2 linked regions of the Ovis aries genome follow. The protein of the gene in region 2 binds, or shares a complex with, the protein of the main gene of each other region. Links are inferred from orthologs where the notes say so. Each region holds a gene or a part of one and is shown on either strand. Other genes may lie near its edges.

What was found. The genes of interacting proteins can lie anywhere in the genome.
Region 1: the proteins of LNX1 (region 2) and IGSF5 are in contact, whole or in part, in a crystal structure (PDB 3VQG), measured with the Mus musculus proteins. The link is inferred for Ovis aries from reciprocal best matches to the Homo sapiens genes LNX1 and IGSF5. Residues at the interface, in NP_001153049.1 of Mus musculus: Gln396, Leu397, Gly398, Ile399, Lys400, Leu401, Val402, Phe413, Leu416, Pro446, Ala449, Ala450, Ile453; in NP_001171358.1 of Mus musculus: Val367, Thr368, Leu369, Val370.

What each region holds. Positions count from the first base shown.
Region 1 is NC_056054.1:260,559,892-260,566,085, reverse strand, and holds the start of IGSF5 (immunoglobulin superfamily member 5), read right to left. Parts: upstream 4,152-6,194; 5' UTR 4,023-4,151; intron 3,691-4,022; 5' UTR 3,454-3,690; intron 282-3,453; 5' UTR 263-281; coding exon 202-262; intron 1-201. UniProt on the Homo sapiens protein: Provides, together with MAGI1, an adhesion machinery at tight junctions, which may regulate the permeability of kidney glomerulus and small intestinal epithelial cells. Mediates calcium-independent homophilic cell adhesion.
Region 2 is NC_056059.1:69,722,376-69,727,863, forward strand, and holds part of LNX1 (E3 ubiquitin-protein ligase LNX), read right to left. Parts: intron 1,884-5,488; exon of another isoform or gene 1,753-1,883; coding exon 1,514-1,752; exon of another isoform or gene 1,205-1,513; intron 1,108-1,204; exon of another isoform or gene 1,025-1,107; coding exon 872-1,024; intron 1-871.

The DNA.
Region 1 (6,194 bases), on a different chromosome or scaffold from region 2:
CCCTGGGGTCACAAAGACTCGGGCACAACTGAGCACACACAGGCACAGGCAGGAGGAAGTGGAGGGAGGAAGGGGAGCCAGTGGGAAGAGCTCAACAAAGAATCTTCGGGCAGCCACACTCCCTGGTGGCCTCCTCCAGGTGCCTTCCACCCACTCCAGGAGGATGCCCCAGAACATCCCACCCAGCTCCGTGGTCCCTACCTGCCAGCCCAGCCAGGACCACCAGCACGGCCAGGACGCCTCTCTGGGCAGCTCCCTCCATCTCACATGCTCCTCCTCACCTGGGAAAGCAAAATAGGCAGGTTACAGTCGGTCCCCTTGCAGAGACCCACAGGGACCCTCCCAGTGCGCATATGTCCCTGGAGAGACGAATCAGCATTTCTCAGCCTGATCAGCGGTGGCACCAGCCTCTTCTGGGAACTTGTCAGTGGTTTGATTACCTGCTGGTGGTGGTTTAGTTACTCAGTCCTGTCCTAGACTTTGCCCCTGGGCTATAACCCGGCACGCTCCTCTGTCCATGGGATTCTCCAGGCAAGAATACTGGAGTGGGTTGCCATTTCCTTCTCCAGGGGATCTTCCTGGCCCAGGGATCAAACCCGCATCTCCCTCGCAGGAAGTCTCCTGCATTGCAGGCAGATTCTTTACTGCTGAGCCGCCAAGGAACTTCTTAGAAAAGCAGATTCTCAGGCCTACCCTGGACCTACTGGATTGGGTCTAGGGGGTGAGCAGGAAGAATTCTGCCCAAAGTTAAGCATGGGACCAATTCTGGTACATACTCACGTCTGAGAATCACTGTAATAAGTGATCTTGCTCCCAAGCCTATGCATAAATCATGGAAACACCTACTATGCTCTACGATGACCACAAAATCACTGACTGAGAGGTCTGAGTGTGGGTTTACTGTTTTTCCCTTCCATTATATGGATGGGAATGGATGCTCTAATCACTGAGAAAAAGCAATCCTACCCACAAGTTTACATTATCAGAAGAAAAATAGCAAAATGAAGACCTAGATCATAAGCTTATTAGAAGGTGGTAAGAGGTATGAAGACAAACAGTAGAGAGGATTGTGTGTGAGGGGGTGTGTGGGATGTGCTGGCTGACGTTTCAAAGGAGAGATGGGAGAAAGGCTTCCAAGAAGGTGTCCCATGAGTAGGGAAGGCAGTCAGGTGACAGGCAGGCGGGTAAGTGCAGAAGGGCCTCCCAGGCTGAACAGCAGGTACAAAGGCCCTGGGGTGGGACTGTGCCTCTGTGTTCGTTTGCGGAACCACAGAGAGACTCGGGGGCCTGGGCAGAGAGTGAAGGTGAGTGGAAGGGGAGCGGTCAGCGTAGACCAGGTGAGGCCTTGCTGGCCCCTTGCAGCACAGGGCAATCTTGTCATGCATGTATCTCGGCCCACACATTTTTCTGTGATAACCCTCTTGCTCACTCCCTATCCTTTCATTTTTAGTTTTATTTTTCCTTCTCCCTAGGACAGGCCTGTTCAAGACTGTCACCAGCACTGCTTGGAGCACTGAAGCCATCCACTGAATGTATTCTGAACTGTTTCTAGGGGCTCTTTATTTCACCCATCCTTAGCACAGTGACCTGACCTGCCAGGAGTTTTCACACTGGCTTTGGCATCCACACAGATTTCAAACTTCCACTTGGGGGATACAACCCATCCCCCCCAAATTGGGGGCAACAGGTTCCATCAGAGACCCTGCACAGGGTTCTGTGACGAGCTGACCCACCCACCCTAGGCTCCATCCTGTCTTCTCTTACAAGACGTAGGAAGCAGGCCCCACAACAACCCACAAGCAGAGATATGAGAACTGAAATAGACACAGGTAATAACTGCATCATCTCCACCTGCAAAAGGCACCACATACAAGCTGCTGAATCAGACAGAGTTCGGGTGGGAAGGATTGAGGACTCCCAGGCCGGTGATCCCCTCTTTACATGGTAGCATGTCACTGGTTGCTCACGAGATCACGAGAAGGAATGTGGGATTTCCGCCTCTTTGTTTTCTGATGACTTGGGAAAGTAAATTTCAGCCTGTGTAGGAAACCACGTCTGCTCATGTGCAGCTATGTCATGTAAGGGGTCATGGTACCTGTGTGGCAGGAGCATCCCACCTCAGCCTCTCCCATCATCAAAAACAGACTCAGCAAATTCCTGCAAATATGCTTTGATTCCCAGCTTCCCTGGAGAAGGGCATGGCTACCCACTCCAGTGTTCTTGCCTGGAGAATTCCATGGACAGAGGAGCCTGGCAGGCTTACAGTCCCTGGTGGTCACAGAGTCAGACATGACTGAACAACTAACACTTTCACTTTCACCAAGCTGTCCAGCAGCTGAACACAAACTAAAATCATGGGCTTCCCAGATTGATCCAAGATCCCAAATTAACAAGCACCAAATAAATCATTTGCTAATTTTTTCAAGGTTCGATGAACACAAGTGGACAAGTCAGTTGCTCGGCGAGTCACCTAGAATCTAGGCCAGAGCAGAGGATGGAGGAGAAATTGAGCTGCCGAGTTATAAAAGTCACACATTTTACCAAAAGCAATAAACTGCAGCAAGAGCTTAAGGTCCACCATGAAGTATTTCTAGTCACTGATAGTCAGGGTCACTCCAGCTGCCAACTAGGACCAGATGACAATTCACTTATTCTCTGTGTGACAGAATGAGTCCATTCCTAAAAGCTCAGCAGCAGCCCCCGGGCTGGGGTATAGGAACACCCCAAGTGCTACAGGAACCCAGATGTGGATTTGTGAGCAGACCCTATTTGAAGGGTGTGTACAGAGAATAACTGTCCTCAGGTTGATTTCAAGTTGTAACTGAGCTCAGACAAGTCCCTTTAATTAAAGGAAATCTCTGCCAGGTAATTTGCAAGTTCATATCTTGGTGGAGTAGTCTAAGATTTCACTTCTCATTCATTTATTTCAGACGACTTGCGTTACCTGCTTTTAGTTGAAGAACTGCAATGTTAAAAGTCTTAAATCTTATTAAATTGCATCAGGACAGGATTTAAATGCCAACCACTCTTTACTGCCCAGACAAGGCAGAAACACTGAGCAGACCCGTCTGCACCCAGCAAACTCATCATCTCAGGAAGGAAATTGTTGAATTTGATCATCTGGTTTATTTACCCATAACACACACACACACCCTTATGGCTGGGTTCTTGGAAACAGTCTGATATCGCAAAATTCAGGGGCTGCAGACATCCTGTCTTTAGGCATCAACATAAATTCTAAACCCCAAAACAATGAAGACAGTGAGAATTTAAATGCACACAAGGGGCTCTCTGCAAACCTCTATGTGCACATACAAAGGCATCAGGGCGCCTCCTCCACCCAGTACCCCAGCTCAGGGTGCCCCCACATTCAGAGGGGTGCTGACTCTGCCAGCCAGATGTGGGGAGTCTTAGAACTTCCAGAGATTTAGAGCAACTTCCCTCCCATCAAACCTCTCACTGGAGAAAGATATGTGTGTGTGCTCAGTTGTTCAGTCGTGTCCAACTCTTTGCGACCCAGTGGACTGTAGCCCGCCAGGTTCCTCCATCCATGGTGTTCTCCAGGCAAGAATATGGGGTGCATTGCCATTTCCTCCTCCAGGGGATCCTCTCAACCCAGGGATCAAACCTGAGTCTCCTGCATCTCCTGCATTGCAGAAGAATTCTTTACTGCTGAGCCACTGAGGAAGCCTTGGGGAAGAATAAACAGCATTTAAAGTCTGTCCGATGAATAACAGGCATGCCAGGAATTTTCCAGCCAAGTCTCAGCTTTCAACGCAACCCAAGAACAGCTCCCAGTGAAGCTAGAATTGAGAAACTGTCTCAAATTCCTACACTCACAGGGCATCCCAGTTTTCATTTCAACTCTGTGGAATTTGGGAAACAGATATGCCTCAGATTGCTCTTTCCCCCCAAGGCCAGCAGCTAGCGGGCCTCCAGGAGCTAAGCACCAGCTCCCCAGGAGGAAGCCGGTATCTGTGGGGAGTCCACTGGCCACACACCAGACCCACGGGGTGTCTCACCTGTGGCAGGTGTATCTGCCTCTCGGGCCTTCAGCGAAGGTTCTTGGTCCCCTCTTTCCTGCCTCCGACCTCTCCCCACACAGACGCAGGAACAAATCTGTCGGCCACTGGAGAATCTGGACGGTACTCAGCTGTTACCAGGAAGTGGCTCACGTCACAAGCCAAGCTGTGCACACAGAGGTGGCCTCCTGCCTCGGGCCCAGAACAGCAGACTCTCAGTTAATCATCAGCCAGCCCGAGGGCCGGTCAGACGGTCAGACGGACAACGCCCCGCCTCAGGGCCACGGCTGCACTTCCACCTGGCCTCCACCCCTAGTTCCCGCCCACGAGCTTTCTCACATCCAGCAGAGTCAGGCCCGAGCCTCCTGCCCCAGTGAGAGGACAGCAAACCCTTCCTGCCCATGGTTGTGGATATAGATATGGACGCGGACCCGGCCGGCCGCCAACCAACCTTGCTCCCTGGGCTCCGGCACAGGCCCGGGGCTGGCAAAGCCGGTTCCTGCTCCCAGACAGGTTCCTCCACGTCCACAAGAACAGGTTCTTTTGTGAAAGAAAAAAAAAAAAAAAAAAGTCCTGAGGGTGAAGTCCTCTGGAGTAGAGCCAGCTTTAAAAGTCAAGTCCTTAGAGGCTTCCTGGGCTGGTGGCTTGTCCCCGTGTCCCTCCCTCCCCACTTCCCTCTCCTCTCTCTCTCCTGCCCCGTTGCTCTTCCTCCCTCCCTTCCCCTCCACCCCGGGCCGGCTCCCTACCTTGCCCAGGCCAGCTGTGCCCAGCGTCTCTTGGTCGCCCTACGCCAGGCCCGCCCGCCCCACCGCAATGGAGCTGCCCCAGCCGGAGCCCGTGGCAGGCTCGGCTCTCAGTCCGGCTGGCATGCGAGGTGGCACCCAGCGTCCTGGCCACCTCCCGGGCCTCTGGCTGGGGGCTCATGGCCTCCTGGGGTCTCCGGAGTGCACGGCCGCTTCCTCGCCGGTCACCACCCTCACCCAGACTATGCACCATCTCGCTGGGCTCGGCAGGTTCGAACAGGCCATCCAGGCAGCCAGCCGAGTTATTCAAAATGAGCAGTTTGCCATCCGACGTTTCCAGTCCTTGCCAGGGAGTCTTCTGGGCCACAGTCCTGTGCTACGGAACATCACCAACTCCCCAGCTTCTGGCACCTGGAGGAAGACTGAGGCCTGTGACCAAGCTGCCTACGGCTCTGGGGAGGACAAAGAGAATGATGGATTTGTCTTCAAGATGCCAGGGAAACCCACACAGCCCTGCCACTCCCGTGTTCTTGGGGAGTGGGCCAGCCGCAGAGAAGACTTTGCCCAGAGGCCAAGCTTAGCTCCCGACCTGATGTGTCTCACCCCTGAGCGGAAGATGGAAGGAGAGGAACTGATCCCCCTGGCCCGATGCCACTTCTCCCTGACCCCCTCCACAGGGGCTGTTGAGGAAGACGATGGATTCGTGGATATCCTGGAGACTGACTTAAAGGAGAATGATGTAGTTCCCCCAGGCATGGAGAGCCTCATCAGTGCCCCACTGGTCAAGACCTCAGAAAAGGAAGAGGAACAGGACCTCATCATGTACAGCAAGTGCCAGCGGCTCTTCCGCTCTCCGTCCATGCCCTGCGGTGTGATCCGGCCCATCCTCAAGAGGCTAGAGCGCCCACAGGACCAGGATCTGCCTGTATAGAACAAGTGGAAAAGGAGCGTGACCCCTTCAGAGGAGGAGCTGTGGGAGGCTGAGGAACCTAAAGCCCGCATTCTCCGCTCAAAGTCTCTGTGTCATGATGAGATTGAGAATATCCTGGACAATGACCACCGAGAACTGATCGGGGATTACTCCAAGGCCTTCCTCCTACAAACTGTGGATGGAAAGCACCAAGATCTCAAGTACATCTCACCAGAAACAGTGGTGGCTCTGCTGACAGGCAAGTTCAGCCACATCGTGGAGAAGTTTGTGATTGTTGACTGCAGATACTCCTATGAGTATGAAGGCGGGCACATCAAGACTGCTGTGAACCTGCCTCTGGAACGGGATGCCGAGACCTTCCTGCTACAGAGCCCCATCACACCCTGCATCCTGGATAAGAGAATCATCCTCATTTTCCACTGTGAATTTTCATCTGAGCGGGACCCCCGCATGTGCCGTTTCATCAGGGAACGAGACAGAGCCTCCAACGACTACCCC
Region 2 (5,488 bases):
CATCTCTTATCATTGTGACCTTTAAATGCCTTAGAGCACTGCCTGGCACCCAGGAAAGCTCAAAAGCATTCTTTCAGTTATTATCATTACTGCTGTGAAGCTCTAGCGTAAGATGAAAAGGAAAGGACAGGACAGTATTTTCTCAGCTCCATTTATAGTGAAAAAAAGATATAGAATCTAAGATCCAGAAACGTTATTTGCGTGAATTTTAGAGCCACATTACTTGGATTCCAAGTTCAGAAGGGGCAAACTAAGTAATTGCCTGGTACCTTAGTTTCCTCATCTATAAAACAGGGATGATAATTGTAGCTCCCTCATAGAGTTGTTGAAGAGTACATGAATTAATACATAGAAAACCCTCAGAATCACACATCACACAAGGTGGAGATAAGAATACTCATATGGCATTTCCTGTGTGCCAGGCACTGTTCTAACTGCTCTTCACTTAACTATATTATTCTTTATATACACTAAGCTAAGACCTGAAGGTAAGGGTTCCAAAATCTTTTCCCTCAATCTATGTAAAAAGAGAACAGTAGGGACTTTCCTAATAGCCCAGTTGTTGGGAATCTGCCTTCCAATGCAAGGGATATGGGTTTGAGCCCTGGTTCAGGAACTAAGATCCATGCCAAACTAGAGAAGCCGGTGAGCCGCAACAAGCACCCAATGTAGCCAGAAAAAAAAAAAAAAAAAAAAGGAAAAGTAATTTTTGCCTTTGGTTACTTATATAAGTAGAGTAATCAAGGTAAAAAATATTTATGCCCTTAGGAAGACAGGTGTCGTAGAAAGTAAGGGCTAGTCCTGTGGTCATCACCCCTGGCGTCATTCTAGAAGCCCAGGCCACGCCCAGCCTCATGGGGAAGCAACTTACCATCAAGGACAGTGGTGTTTTCAGAATCCTCTCGTCCCTGGTCAGCTTGGCTGACAACGGTACTTCCACTCTTTGTCCTTCGGAGAACACTCAAGGCTCGGTTTATTTTTTTAAAGGATCTGCTTCTGATGGTGGATCGCTCAAAGGGCCGTGCTGAAGACAAGAGAGAAAAAGGTCTTTTTAATGGACACGGCTGGCAAGATACACAACAGACTGCAAACGGTGATTACTTCGAGGTAGCAGGATGATACAATTTGCTTATCTGTATGTTCTCAGTTTTCTACAATGAAATATGGACGGTTTATTTAAAATCTGCTTGTCATTTTTTCCTAGGCTGGATGGAATATAACAGCACTTTTCTCGAGTTGCCTGGGTGGGAAGGTATGGACGCTGCAGGAGTGATGAATCACTAGGTCTAACTTCAACTCCTTTCACCAAGTCAGATTACACACGTTTCTAATGATCTCAAGTCCTCGTGGTTTCATTTCACTTTGGAGAACTGGATGTTGGGTTGTGGCCAAAACTACCAGAACAATTTCCTCTTAAACAAAACATTTCTAGGACTTTCCACAGTGACCGTTTCACAGAGGGCAGTCCCAAGGCAGAAGAGCCCATTCCCGGACAACCACCCATTTGACTCACCCCTTGTTCGGTTGCTCCGGCCAGAGTCCAGGGGGCTATTTGGCTGACCATCCTCTGCTGTGGACACGTAGGCAGGGTTGTCTAGGCCAGGCTCATCTGTCATTAAGGAGACGGTGGGAACTGTGGAAATCTCTGGGGACAGTGCTGTTGCTGTGAGGCTGGTGCTGCCATCTGGACAGCCATCCTGAGAGCGCCTCTTCCTGTCTTTAGTGAGACCGTAGTGGGAGGCACCTTTGCAGCTGTAACAAAGCCAGAAGGAGGTCAGAGAAAGCTTTGCACATCGCTCAGCTGGGCCTCTTCCAGCGCACGTGCTTGCTGCCCTCGGAAATTGATTTGCTCGCCCCTGGTTCCCCTCTCTTTTCACATGGAGGTAAGTCAATATACACTTGCCAATCAAATGAATGAATGACTTGAGAGAACAGCTTTTAAAATTCGTCTATTGCATTTTGTTAAAACACTCTCTATCCCGGTGCCTGAAATGCAAACTGTGAGAGTTGTCATGGGGTCACAAAGACTAGGGCTTGAGGCTGGCTATCTTCAACTATTTGGACGTGGTAATTCCTTCTTGCTGGTGTTTATCTTGACCATGAAAGCCCTTAGTCACCCTCTCAATCCTTTCTTTTGGGTTTAGTTTCCCAAACCACTGAACATAAACACAAAACTCCTCCCAGATTCCATATTTAACTGTCCATGGAAATAGAATCACCCGCATTACAAAGCCACAGGAGTTTGCTCAGCACCATGGTTCTCTAGAGGCCGGCTTGCTGGCTTCCAGTCCCCTGCCTTGGGGCTGGTCTCAGAGTGGCCAGAATCTCTGAGGGACTGAGGACTGGGGGCTCCCATGCACTAAAAATGTGCCTGTCTTCTAACATTGGGAGAGTAAAACAACATTCACGCTCTTTTAAAAAATAGGTCTATATCCATTCACCCTCCATGTTAAAGAGCAAGCCTAAGAGTCAGGAGACCAAGGTTCGAGTTTATCCAAGTCCATATTTTTGCTGTGAATGCCCTTCCATTGTCACTAGGCAAGTCATCTCAGCTCTTAGGTAGGTTTCGATCAGAAAATGCTGATGATTTCACTCTTTCAGTGTTGTGGTGAGGATGTAGCCACAGACAGCCACACCAGCTTCCCAGTGATCATGAAGGCAGAAATTGAATGGGCGAGTCCCTTTAAGAAGCGACTATTTGCATATAATGGATGTTAATTTCTAAATTATTTTCACCAACTCATTACAGAAAACTGGATATAATTGAGCTATTTTAGATAACACTTTGAGAGCCTATTTGGAGTGATGTTTCTGAAAAGCAGTCTGCAGTTGATGTGCCCGTAATTGATACGGCCTGAGAGAGCCATAGAGCTGGTGGATAGAAGGGCCTCTGTCTGGATGGAAATCTTTGCTCTGAAATTTACGTAGCTGTATCATCTGGGAAAATTTTGTTAACGTGGTTAAACTTTCTAATCTGCACATACATCTTGGGTTGCTGTGAAGTCTGCTAGACATTAGGTCTTGGCAAGAGTTTAGTATTTTGCCAGATATATGGAAAATTCTCAACAGATTGTAGCCACTTCTATAACTGAACCATCTAAGTTGCCTGTTTTATCACATTAACTTCTTTGAGATTAGAGTGCATGGGGGATGGATGGGGTTCCAAAACTTCAGTTGCCAAGCTGCAGTCATGATGCAAACGCCATTGTCCAAGCACGGCAAACATGGTAACAGGTGTCCAGCTTGTCCCTTCCATTGAGTTGCATCCACTCTTGGTACTAGGCCAAGTTTAAATGCTGTTCATTGTCTTAGAAAAGATTACATTACAATTAAGCATTGAAACGAAAAGTAACTGTATAAATAGAAACTCTCAAAAACAGAGCAGTGTCAAGTAAATTTGACATTGGCAAAGTAAATATTTGTCATTAGAAGGACAGCAATTTCCGATTTTCTTATGAAGAGACAAGCAGACGCTTTATTTGCTTAGAAAGAAAGATACCACCAAGGAGATGAAAAGTGGTGTCACATTTTGTTATTGAAATCATCCAAAAGAATGGGCCTCTTTCATGCCAAACAATACAACTAGAGGGCAGGAGAGGTCTGAATGGAATTTGTCTGAATAGATTTTGAAGTCTGATCTCACCAACTCATGCATTGCAAGGATATCTTTAACAGTGTTTTGGAATGATTTAACCAGTGACAGTTTTTAAAATTTTCTTGCTGGTACATAAAACATGATGCTTCTTATAATCAATGATGATGATTTTATGTGGTTTTAATATTAGTAGAAAAGGACTGATTATACAACCCTACCTACATCTTTATCTTATAGAAGATGAAATGGGACTCTAGCTTCTCATACTAGTCTTTCTCTCCCTGAAAGAGTATAAGCTTCTTGCTTGAACTGGTGAGATTTTACTGTTCTGATGAGCTACTTTGGCTTTGAATCATTCTGCTTAAAAATAGCAAAGTGGTTGATATGAGAAGCTCAAAAATTGGAAGAAACATTGTGTGATGGAAAAAATAAAAGCCAGCATGCAGTTGAGCAGCTCCAAAGTCATAAACACATGAGTGGAACACTTCTCTGTAAGCCAGCAGTCTCAGACTAGCAACACATGGGAAGGAAGTTCCTAGGCTATTTTGTTGGACTAGAAACAGTCTTTCTTTTCTTGGGGCAGCAATGCTCTTCACCATGTGCCCTGCCAGAGCAGGAAATGAATCTTCCAATTGGACAAATGACCGGCAAAGGCACAAGCCATGGCCTTCCGAGGGGATGGACCACATCCCAGTGGAAAAAAGTAGCATCTTGTTCTGCTGCCACATCTGTGAGAAGGGGTAAGGTATTTAAAGATCTCTGAATGCCAAGCCTATGCCATTAAGAAACCATTTCTGTTTCAGATCCTTGGGGTTCCAAAGACACATTTTAGTCCAGGAAAGGAAAACATCATAAAATGGCTAAGATCACTCCCCTCTGGCCTCGTACCTCAGCTATCCTTACAATAGCCAGGGAGGGTAGATTTAAACATTCAGACTCATAAGCTTTGTATAAAAAAGGTTCTGCTAAAGTGACTAATACTTGTGTAATGTTGCTTGTTTCAGCTTCTTGGATGAGCTTGAATCTAAGGCACAGCGTGATCTATGAAGGTAGCAGCTTGTACTTACTAATTATCTCTTTCGTGTTGACTGATCCTGGGGCCTCCTGATTTACAGGCACAAGTGAGGGGAGGAGGGGGAAAGAGCTGATTAGCCTTGGCCAATACAGGAACATATGCTGAACCCTGGGTTGTGTTCAAAGCAAACAGGATTTATTCTCCCTTTAGTTATCCTGAGCATTAAGTACTCTCAGGTGGTGATGGGTGACAGCCATGAACTTGAAGGATGAACACAAGGAACGTGGTAAACCATTTTTCAACCACTTTGGATATGCCATCTGTTAAAGTAGCTCTGAAGATCAGTTTTGTTAATAACAGAGTTGAGATCCTGAGCTCCTATATCAAAGTGAGCGGAGGCAAATCTGTCTTAATATAAAAATGCTGACACTGGGGGCATGTGCCATGGAATTTTTGTCTTTTCTGCAAGGGAGAGGAGAAAGTAAGAAGAGAAAATGAACCTCTTCTTGCAAAAATTCCTGAGTCCATGAGTTCACGGCTAATGGGGGTTGACTGCAAGCAGGTTGGACCTCTGGTGTACTTTACAGAGGTTCTGATGAGATCAGAGCTCAGTACAAGTTGGTTTGCAGGGGAGGGCTCCTTTCTGATGATAGAATAAAAGAGGTCCTTGAGAAATCAAGCCTCAATACACTCATTATAACAGTCTGGGTAACTATACCACCTCTCTTTGATGCTTCAATTTCCCTCACATTCTTTCTCAGTTCACTTCTGAATTAGGTAAACACTGAATCTGCCCTCAAGTTGAGTTCATTAATTGCTCAGTCTGCTCTTACTTTAAACCAGGGCTTGCAAACTCATACACTAATCAGGCCAGGGGG